2 linked regions of the Drosophila melanogaster genome follow. The protein of the gene in region 2 interacts with the protein of the main gene of each other region in a pairwise test. Each region holds a gene or a part of one and is shown on either strand. Other genes may lie near its edges. The genes, in order: CG12116 and CG7029.

Region 1 (4,000 bases), on a different chromosome or scaffold from region 2:
ATGAAATCTTCTAGGGGTCACTTTCCCGCTGAACGACATTGAACGGAGGACAGGGTCAGGTTCAGGTATAGCCTGTGTTCCAAATATGCTTTCCATTAGGTCCACGCCTGCCCACTAAAGCTGCGATGCTACGTGCTTCGGCTTGAAAGCCCCGCGCACTTTTGATAATACCCCTAAATCAACATAAACAGACAGATGTGATGCTATTACCCACTGCCACTGTCCACTGGTGAATTCCAAGAACTTTGGACGATACCATGTGAGTGGCTAACAATGAAGTAGGGGTACACCAACCAAGATGTTCCAGCCATTCAAGACTGGTCATTATCCAACAAGCAAAACAGCAAAGTTATCAAGATTTTGGCATTCATAGGTGCATAGAGGTTTATTTTTGATCTTGGATTTGCAGTTATGTTGCAATATATGAATATATTAATATGTAATTATATATTATAAGAAAAGGGAAGTAGTGCGACTTAGATAATCTGTATACTCTATTTTGCATAGCTATTCCCTCCATCAAATGTGAGCTTATTTGGTTATACTACGATTAGAACTGCGTTCCGTTCCCGATTTCTAAATGGGTCAGCGTCATCTCGAAACGAGAATCCGGGAATCGGCAGCAGACTCCACCGGAATATAATAAGGCCATTAACCTAATTCGAGCTTGTTATTGGCGAAAATATAGTCAAAACAGCAAATTCTGGAAACACTGCCGTCTATCGATAGATCTTGAATATAGATTTTAAAGCACTTCCCTTCCGATCGATAATGTCTATAGAAATATGGAAAAATCACATTTCTAGGCAAAAAAAAAAAAACCCCTATATGACACATTAATATATATGTACCTTACGTTATCTTTAAACATGCGATTTAACGGATGTTTAGTAACGAGAGAGTTCATTAAATTCACACGTGTTACACTACCCATGTAATTCACAGGCATATATTATATGTATTATGTAATTGCAAAAACCATTTGCATTTTATTCGTCTACGAAAGTTCAACGACTGAATGCGATAACCTGTTATGTGATTCGGAAAATAAACATATATACTTAAAATAGGAAAGCAGTTTTAATGGGAAAAAACTATATGAATGGAAATTTATTTAATTTGTTTTGCAAAAAAAAGAAGGGACTTTGCTTAGACAAAACTATAAAATGTACTATTCTACTTTCCACATAATATTGTCCCCATCTGTGCTACACTATTAATTGTTGCCAACTGATTTGTTTACAAAATTCTTTGGTTAATCTCTTGCACTAAAAAGACAACCTTGACTTAGCGCCATATCAAAGGAACTCGATGAACTTCAAGATGACAATCGATCAGGTTTTTGGCTCATGGGAAACAGTGGCAAAGCCAAAAGGGGCTTGAAAAAATTAGCTTATTCTAATATGAAAGTATAAAATGAAATGAAAAGTATAATCTATGTTAAAGCATATAGAGCAATTTGTTTGTTAGGACATTATCTAAACTATGTCTATTTACCAGGACCAGGCCCCCGATGCGTAATATTGGCGCACCACTCCATCAGATTCCAGAGGTTAAATGATGCGCCATGGGTCCGGATTACGGTGCCAAAATCCCAAACATTACAAATGGTTAATGGCACGGCAACAAGACCAGACGCCTGAACCCCGGCTTATCAGTCGATTGGGTTGTATAAAAGCCCCAAGCTGACATCCCCACCAGTCCAGAGCGCTTCTCCATACGGAATCGGAACCTGAGTTGCTCAGTCGAGCATAAATATATATACAATACATATATATGCACATATAGTTGGCCAATCGAAATCGGAATAAAGCTTATCAGTCGAAAACAGAGTCCAGTTGGCAAAGCCCGGAGGAAATAAGGCATCAGTACAGTCGTACAGCTTCAAGTGAAAACAAGTGGAAGATTCTTCAGTTCCCGAAATCCTCAAGTACCCGAAATCCTTTAAATCAAAATAATGGCAGCAAAGAGAATGGATTTAAATAGACGCACCTTTTTGGTGTTGAGCGGCAGCTCAAATCCTTTGGGTCAATCCCTGGCGCTGGAGTTCTGCCGTCGCCTGGCCACTGGATCCCTTGCTTTGATCTTGGATGAGGATCAGGAGCAGCTTCGGGAGCTGGAGAATCATCTCCGGAGCGAACTGAAGACGGAGAACGTTAAGGTGACAATCGGAAAGTTGGACAAAGATCACTCGAATGGTGTGCAGCTAATGGAACAGGCATTGATGGATAATTTCATGGCGGATAAGGACAATCAACGCTTCGAGCGTTCCATAATCCTTCACAACGAGGGAAAGGCGGCCACGCATATGCTCCTGGAACCCCAGAGCGACGACGATTGGAAGGCCTATGTCCAGCAGCAGCTCTATGCTCCGGTGGCGCTCAATCAGACGTGGCTGCAATCGAAGCACTTGGAGCGAGTGGAGAAGCTGGCGGTGAATGTGACCTCATCGCTGATGGTACGTCCATTGGTCCATGCTGGTCTGCTTTGCTCGTGCAAACGGGCCAGGGATATGTACTTCCGCGCCATGGCCGCCGAGGAGTATCGTTTCGGTGTCCATGTGCTCAGCTTCTCGCCCGGTCTGATGGACACCCACGAGGGACAGTGCGATGTGAACGGCAATCGGATCACTCCCGCTGATCTGATAGCCACGAAGCAGTTGCTCCAGCTGCCGAGAATCAAGCCCTGCCAGGCCACACTCAAGCTGATCAACATTCTGGAGGAGATATCCTTTGTCTCCGGTCACGATGTCGACTATTACGACACCTTCGTTTTATGAGTAGCACCGTGGCGGTGGGCTGCGTCCCCGATGGACTCGGTTCTAATCTTGGTTGACGATTTAAATGCTGTACATGACTTGATCGCCTTGGAAATTAATAAAATCTGGCCAATGTCCCAGATTTCAGACCTGCAAGTGCACGAAAATCAAGCACACGAACAGGAAAACGAACGAAAAATTATATTTTTATTTTGGGTGGGTGGGTAGAATTTTAGATTTCTATAGGTTTGCCATTCACAATATTAACATATATTGTTGATTTGCTACTTTCAACTGAATTTGAAATTGAGTCTATTTTTAATTAGAATAGACAGGAATCACCGAAGCACACTCCTTATATTTTACCTATAATATATTTAAAACTGATGTTCAAAAAAAGAGTACTGCAGAATATACTTAGTAATTAGTTACTATTGGTAAATTTGTATGTGCAGGCGTGAGTTTATGAGTCAGCAATGCACAACAGATTAAACAAATATACAGAATATACATATATATATATATATATTTGTTAGCTCAAAACAGAAAATGAGACAGATTGAATAGTCTCAGTGATAAGAAAACCCACACGTGTTCAAATGTATAGAATTTTGTATGTGTGGTGTTGCCGGGTCGAAAATTTTCAAAATTCCCAATAGACTGATTCTTGATCCGGGTTTTCAAAATTATATGTGAAAATTTGGCTACTGAATTTGTAGTTAATAACTAATGAGGTTTTGACAAATCTTTAATCTATACAGTTATAAATGGCTTAGTTCGCCTCATTCTGATTAAATGTATTTATGGTTTTCAATTTTTTTTTTTTTCAGTTTACTTTCAATGAATCAACTGTTTTATATTCAAGGCATACTTTTGGGTATTCCTTATAGAAAAGTAATTTAAAAAGCCATAAGTTGCTCAAAATGTTGCTAAAGCTTTCCTAATCAAATTACAAATGAAATATTGTAAAAAGCAATCAGGAATTATAAATGGAGCTTCCCTACAATGTTGCAAAGATTCTGTAATCAGTTGGATTTTATAGTTTTTCCCTTGGATGCGGGGAATAAACATACAAATTAAATTTAATGACAAATTGAGAGCTTGAACTTTATAACAAAGTTGCAGAGCTTTCGAGAGAAGATTACTCGAGTTAACTCTTTAAGATGCTGACCTTGACATTGACTTTCTAACACATATTATATACATAATATATTAGCTGGGTTACTTTCATAAGGACCATAG
Region 2 (5,150 bases):
CCTTGGAGGAGCTGTTGCTGTCGCAGCCGCTGCTGGTGCTGCTGCTGTTGCTGTTGCTGTTACTCGTGCCACCGGCGACATGTTGCCAGCAGGCCGTGTGGTTGCCATTGGCATCGCTGGCTTGCGGATTGCTCTGGCCGCTGTGGTGGGTGCAATCGATGCCGGCCCTGGAGCAGGCGGCACAGCGTTTGGAAATGTCTACGAATCTCATGATGAAGGCGAGCAGCAGCAACAACATCTAGTTGTTGCAGGCGTATGTTGCTGCCGATTTATTTTTGGCCAGTCCGCTGCGGACCAACGCTGCGATGTTGCCAAGATGTTCTTGGGACAGTGTCGCTGCTTCTGTATTGCTGTATTTTTAGTTATTGGCTCTTTTTTTTAAGCGGTTCAACTCCATTGATTGGTTGCACATTTTGTTTGGATTTTTCCTTTCGGTTCTTCTTTTCTATGCTGCACTTTTCATTTTGATTTCTTCGTAGTCTTTGATGGCTATTTATACATGTTGTTATGCTTGATGCGTAAGTTTTCTCTTCTCTATACGACACATGGACCAAGTTTTATATATAAAAATAACACAGATTGTTTGTGTGTATGCGCTACACTGTTCAGCCCACAAAAAGTTTTGTGTCTGTTGATATGTTTTCGGTGTGAGAAGCATATAAAAATAATTTACGAGTTTTCTGCATTCGGTTTTCGGGACTTTTATGTTATTTCTTCTATCTAAACTTTAATGCGGAGTTTCGACGAAAAACGTCTAAAATTAACCCACCAAACTAACAATGTGGCATAAACAAAAGCTGTGTTCCCACCATCGATTTATGCCCCTGCGGCTTTGGGCCAAACTCGGAATGCAATTCCTTTGGCCTTTCCTGACGCGCAAATTAACTGCATTCGTGGCTCGTTAGCAAAAGCGTTAGCAGCAAAGCCCCCAAAACCCTAAAGGTGCCTAATTTATGGCATCAAATTTCCGACACAAAAAACGGAAATGGCCATCCTTGCTAAACAGAGGGCTTTTGAAGCCGTGTAGCTTTGGCCAGGCTCGCCACAGGTGTCTAAATTTAAATCACTGGCCGAAAAGAAACTTAGCCAAGTTCATTAATATTAACTTGTCGTCCGACATTTTGGCGAGCATGTGTCATAATGTTTGCTATTGAAATCTATCTAGAGCGCACATGAGCTTGCCAAAGAAAAATATCTAGATCCACCAGGTGCTTGGCATAATGAGATTATAGGAGATATATCTGCATACTTGATGCCTGACATCAGCAAAAGATACAATATCTTTATATATTTTACAAAGGGGAAATGCAACTAAATAGCAATAGCAAAATTGCTACAAAAGTGGTAAGCCAGTAGTAATAAATGCAGGAGATATATAAAACCTCTTTTTCCTTAGTGTAAGATGACAGACAAAGGATCGCAAAATGGCCACCAACCACCGGGGAAAGCGTCGCGCACGAAAAGGAATCCCTCAGGACTGCGTTTTTCAAATATCGAGAAAGGGAAAGTCTGAGGAGTGCTCAGGCGCACCAAGGACCTGGCTCGGAAAATGCCAAACGGCTTTGCCGCATCTGGCAAGCGGCCAAAATACATAGGAACCAAACCAACATACACTCTGCCACAAGGCGGTGGTACGCACAAGTATATGTACATGGTGGAAAAGAAAAGTGCTCTCGCATCGAAGCGGCATTTAAGCAGCTCCGATAAACATGGTGGCAAGTTGTCCATGGCCACGCTCCAGCTGCCTTGTATTTGCCAAGAGCCATGAAGTTCTTGAAATCATAAACATAATGTTTTTGGTACGAACGCAAGTAAGAAGCCGACGCACTGCGAAAATATTGTGTGGAAATTGCAGATGCATTTCGATTTCGTGCACGCAACTCATTTGGATTTCTCTTTGCACCTTGCAATTTTCCGCGGCCGGGGCAAAAATAAACAGCGCATGTAGCCGATGCGAAAGTACAGTTTTTTCACCCAGTTGGAGCTGCAAGGTGTAGCCCCCCACCAGGTTCAATCACATTTTGAACTCCAACAAAAATGTTTGTTTAGGTGTTGGCATTGCGGACAAGTTAAGGGAAATGCGTGGCAAATGACACATTACATTGGCCTCTAATGTCGGCAATTGCAATCAATAAAAGTTTAATAGCAAGATTGGTTTATAAAATATTTATATAATATATTATTTGTTCAGCTACTTTCTTTTTGGTTCCTATAGATATAGTTTCAAACCCTTATGGTGTCGCATAGGCAAGCCCTTTTTTTGTAAACACAAGTATATATATTTTCCTCATTGTTCTCGAGATGGCAAGCATTTTAGTTTAGTTCAACGTACTTGTTGGCCTACATTGCGCCTAGAAAATGGCAGCGGGAAAACTCTTTTGGCGGAGTACGCCATGCCCGCCAATTAAATGAGGCAGCCCAAGAAAATGCATCTGCATTTTCCACGATGGCGATGCAGTTACAGATATAGCCGCATTGTCGATGTTGTTTCTATTTTGTGTGCCGATTGTAATTACGAAATCATCAAACGCATGTGTGCATATCGACGCGGAAGTCTTTTGGTTTTGGCAAAAAGGTCAAAGCTATTTGCAGATGCAGATACACAGTTGCTACTTTGACAGGCAAATCGAGCTTATCAACCGGTTGCTGAACGCTTTTATTTGGCTTAAACAAACACTTTTGGCATGCCCAACAAATTTTAGTTGATAAGATAAGCCTTGAAACTGGTAGCAATGCAACTGACAACCTGATAACCGATTAGATACAGACGCCGACTACAGATGATCTCATTTTCGAGTGCAGAAAACTCATAAATAATTGTTAAATGCTGGCATTACATTACCCCAAAAACGGATTGCGTATTAGATAATCCCAAAAAGTTCGTTGTCAAAGAGAACTTTGGTTCCTTTGTTCGTATCAGACATTAAAGAAAGTACACAAACACAGACACTCTCGTCTACCGACGATGCACTTAAGATGGCCAATCTAACGAGTATCTTTCAGATAATTCTGTGGGGATTGGCTCACGCACAATTAAAGCCCTTTAAGTGATTCCACTTTGATTGGGATGCTGCTGCTGCTGCGTCACACAAAGTATCTACGAGTTTATTATTCAAACCAGACGAACGGAACGACGAACCGACGACGAGGCGCGTAAACAAATTAAGCGAAATGTGAAACGAAAAATAAGAAATACATATAGATATATATATGTATGGAAAATAATCAAGGCTTTCACAAACGACACGCTCCGCACATTTTCACAGTTGCACCAGCCCAAGGAGACTGACTGAAAATGAAAATACGCGAGCGGCAACGACAATCTGAAATCCGAAAAAAAGAGGCGAAGCGACGGCTACAAAGCGACGAGGCCTCTATGTGTGTGTGTGTGCGTGTGTGTGTGAGAGAGTATCTGTGAGAGGGCACCTCCCAGTGTAAGTATCTTCGGGGTGTATCCGAGTCCGAGTGAAAAGAATGAAAAGCACCCGAAAACGCACGAAGTACCCCAACGCACGGAACATTATACAATGTGGTGCATCGCCGAGTTAACCCCAAAATAAGGAAACATGTAGCACGGACTCCAGCGAAAAGTGAAAACGAGAGCGACAACTTCATGGATACGGCTAATAGCACCATCTGTGGCGCAGCAAGTGCAACCCTTTGGATATAGAAGTTTATTATCCATGGTTTTACAAATGGTATATAATAGAGGTAAAGATAAATTCTCATTTTAGAAAAATTAAGTATGTTGCTACTACTATTAGAAATAGAATAGAATATTCCACAATAAAAATAATCGTAATCCACAGGATTAAAGATTAATAATTGATTTGATCTTCAGGTCTGATAGCAATCTCCCATTAAAGCACTGAATGCAATGCCCGTTCAAATGGCACATTATGAATAATGGAAATCTCTAGTTGAATCTTAACTAATTATACAAACAAGTAGTTAGTTCAAGTCATTGTTATTGATTAATGAGAGCGATTGTTATTAAACTTATTTGCTTTTATCAGTTTGAAATGACTTCAAATAATAATTTAGTATTTCATTGTTCACTTTTATACCAAACCATCGATCATTTTAGCTTGTCACAATTAAGATCCTCTTAGATATAAAACAATTTCGAAATTACTAAAAACTATTTGTAATATTTCCTCTTCAGCCAAATAAATCACTGCGATAAGCGCCGACCATCTGGTAAGTAAATCAACTGCAGATTTTGATTTATCTCTGCGACTAATGAAGCCGTTCAAGTGGGAAACCAAACCAAGTGCCCACTTGGTCCGGCCAAACAAACATCCCTCCTCCACAACGATGGTGGTAAATAGAGCTCGAAGAGCCTGAAGACGCCTCTTCCGGCAGGATGAAGATCCAAGTTTCCCGGCACGGCGCATGTGCACGTGCTGCAAGCAAAGCAAACACAGAACATGTGCCCCTCTTTGAAACTGAACACCGCACATAAAATTATAGCATAGAATCACAGTTCGAGGGGGGTTCAAAGTGCGGGAGCAATGCACAAGTGCTCATTAACAATTACAAACAGGCGATCATCAGTCAGTGGAGCGCACTACATTTTCCAATTTCCCAATAAAAGCATTATAAATGCGCATATGTACATTTCCCCCCATTAGATTCGAATGGTAGACAAAGGCAGGGCATGAATGAGTTGAATACATTAAGTAATCATCATCGGTATTCACAGCACAAGCACCCTGTAAATGCATATATTATATTCATATACCCCCTATCTATTATCAGCTGTTTTGGTGTACTGCTGCTGATTAAATCAACCTCAAACAGACGGGGAATGCTAAAAAAGATACATATGTATATGTACGTACATAGATATCACTTTCAATGAACAGCAATTGGCTTGTTTACATGAAGATACGAAAAAGTATATATACAAACGCAAAACTTGTCGCTTTTCTTTTTCTTTTTTTTTGGGATTTTCTGCTACTTTTATTTGTTAATTAATTATTGTCGGCTTCGAAAGATCAGCGGATGCCATATGTTTTTGGGTCTTGAAAGGGAAAAAAACAGGTCGTGATCATAATCCATAAATTAGAATACCAGACATAGCAAAAAATTATAAAATAGATCTACAGATGGCGAATGAAAGTTTAAATGGCATACTTTTAGGTGGA

Evidence for each region.
Region 1: the proteins of CG7029 (region 2) and CG12116 interact in a two-hybrid assay, tested with the Drosophila melanogaster proteins (one large-scale study listed by BioGRID).

What each region holds. Positions count from the first base shown.
Region 1 is NC_004354.4:8,466,712-8,470,711, reverse strand, and holds CG12116 (uncharacterized protein), read left to right. Parts: upstream 1-1,699; 5' UTR 1,700-1,957; coding exon 1,958-2,779; 3' UTR 2,780-3,269; downstream 3,270-4,000.
Region 2 is NT_033777.3:22,779,851-22,785,000, reverse strand, and holds the start of CG7029 (uncharacterized protein), read right to left. Parts: upstream 3,274-5,150; 5' UTR 2,843-3,273; intron 535-2,842; 5' UTR 239-534; coding exon 1-238.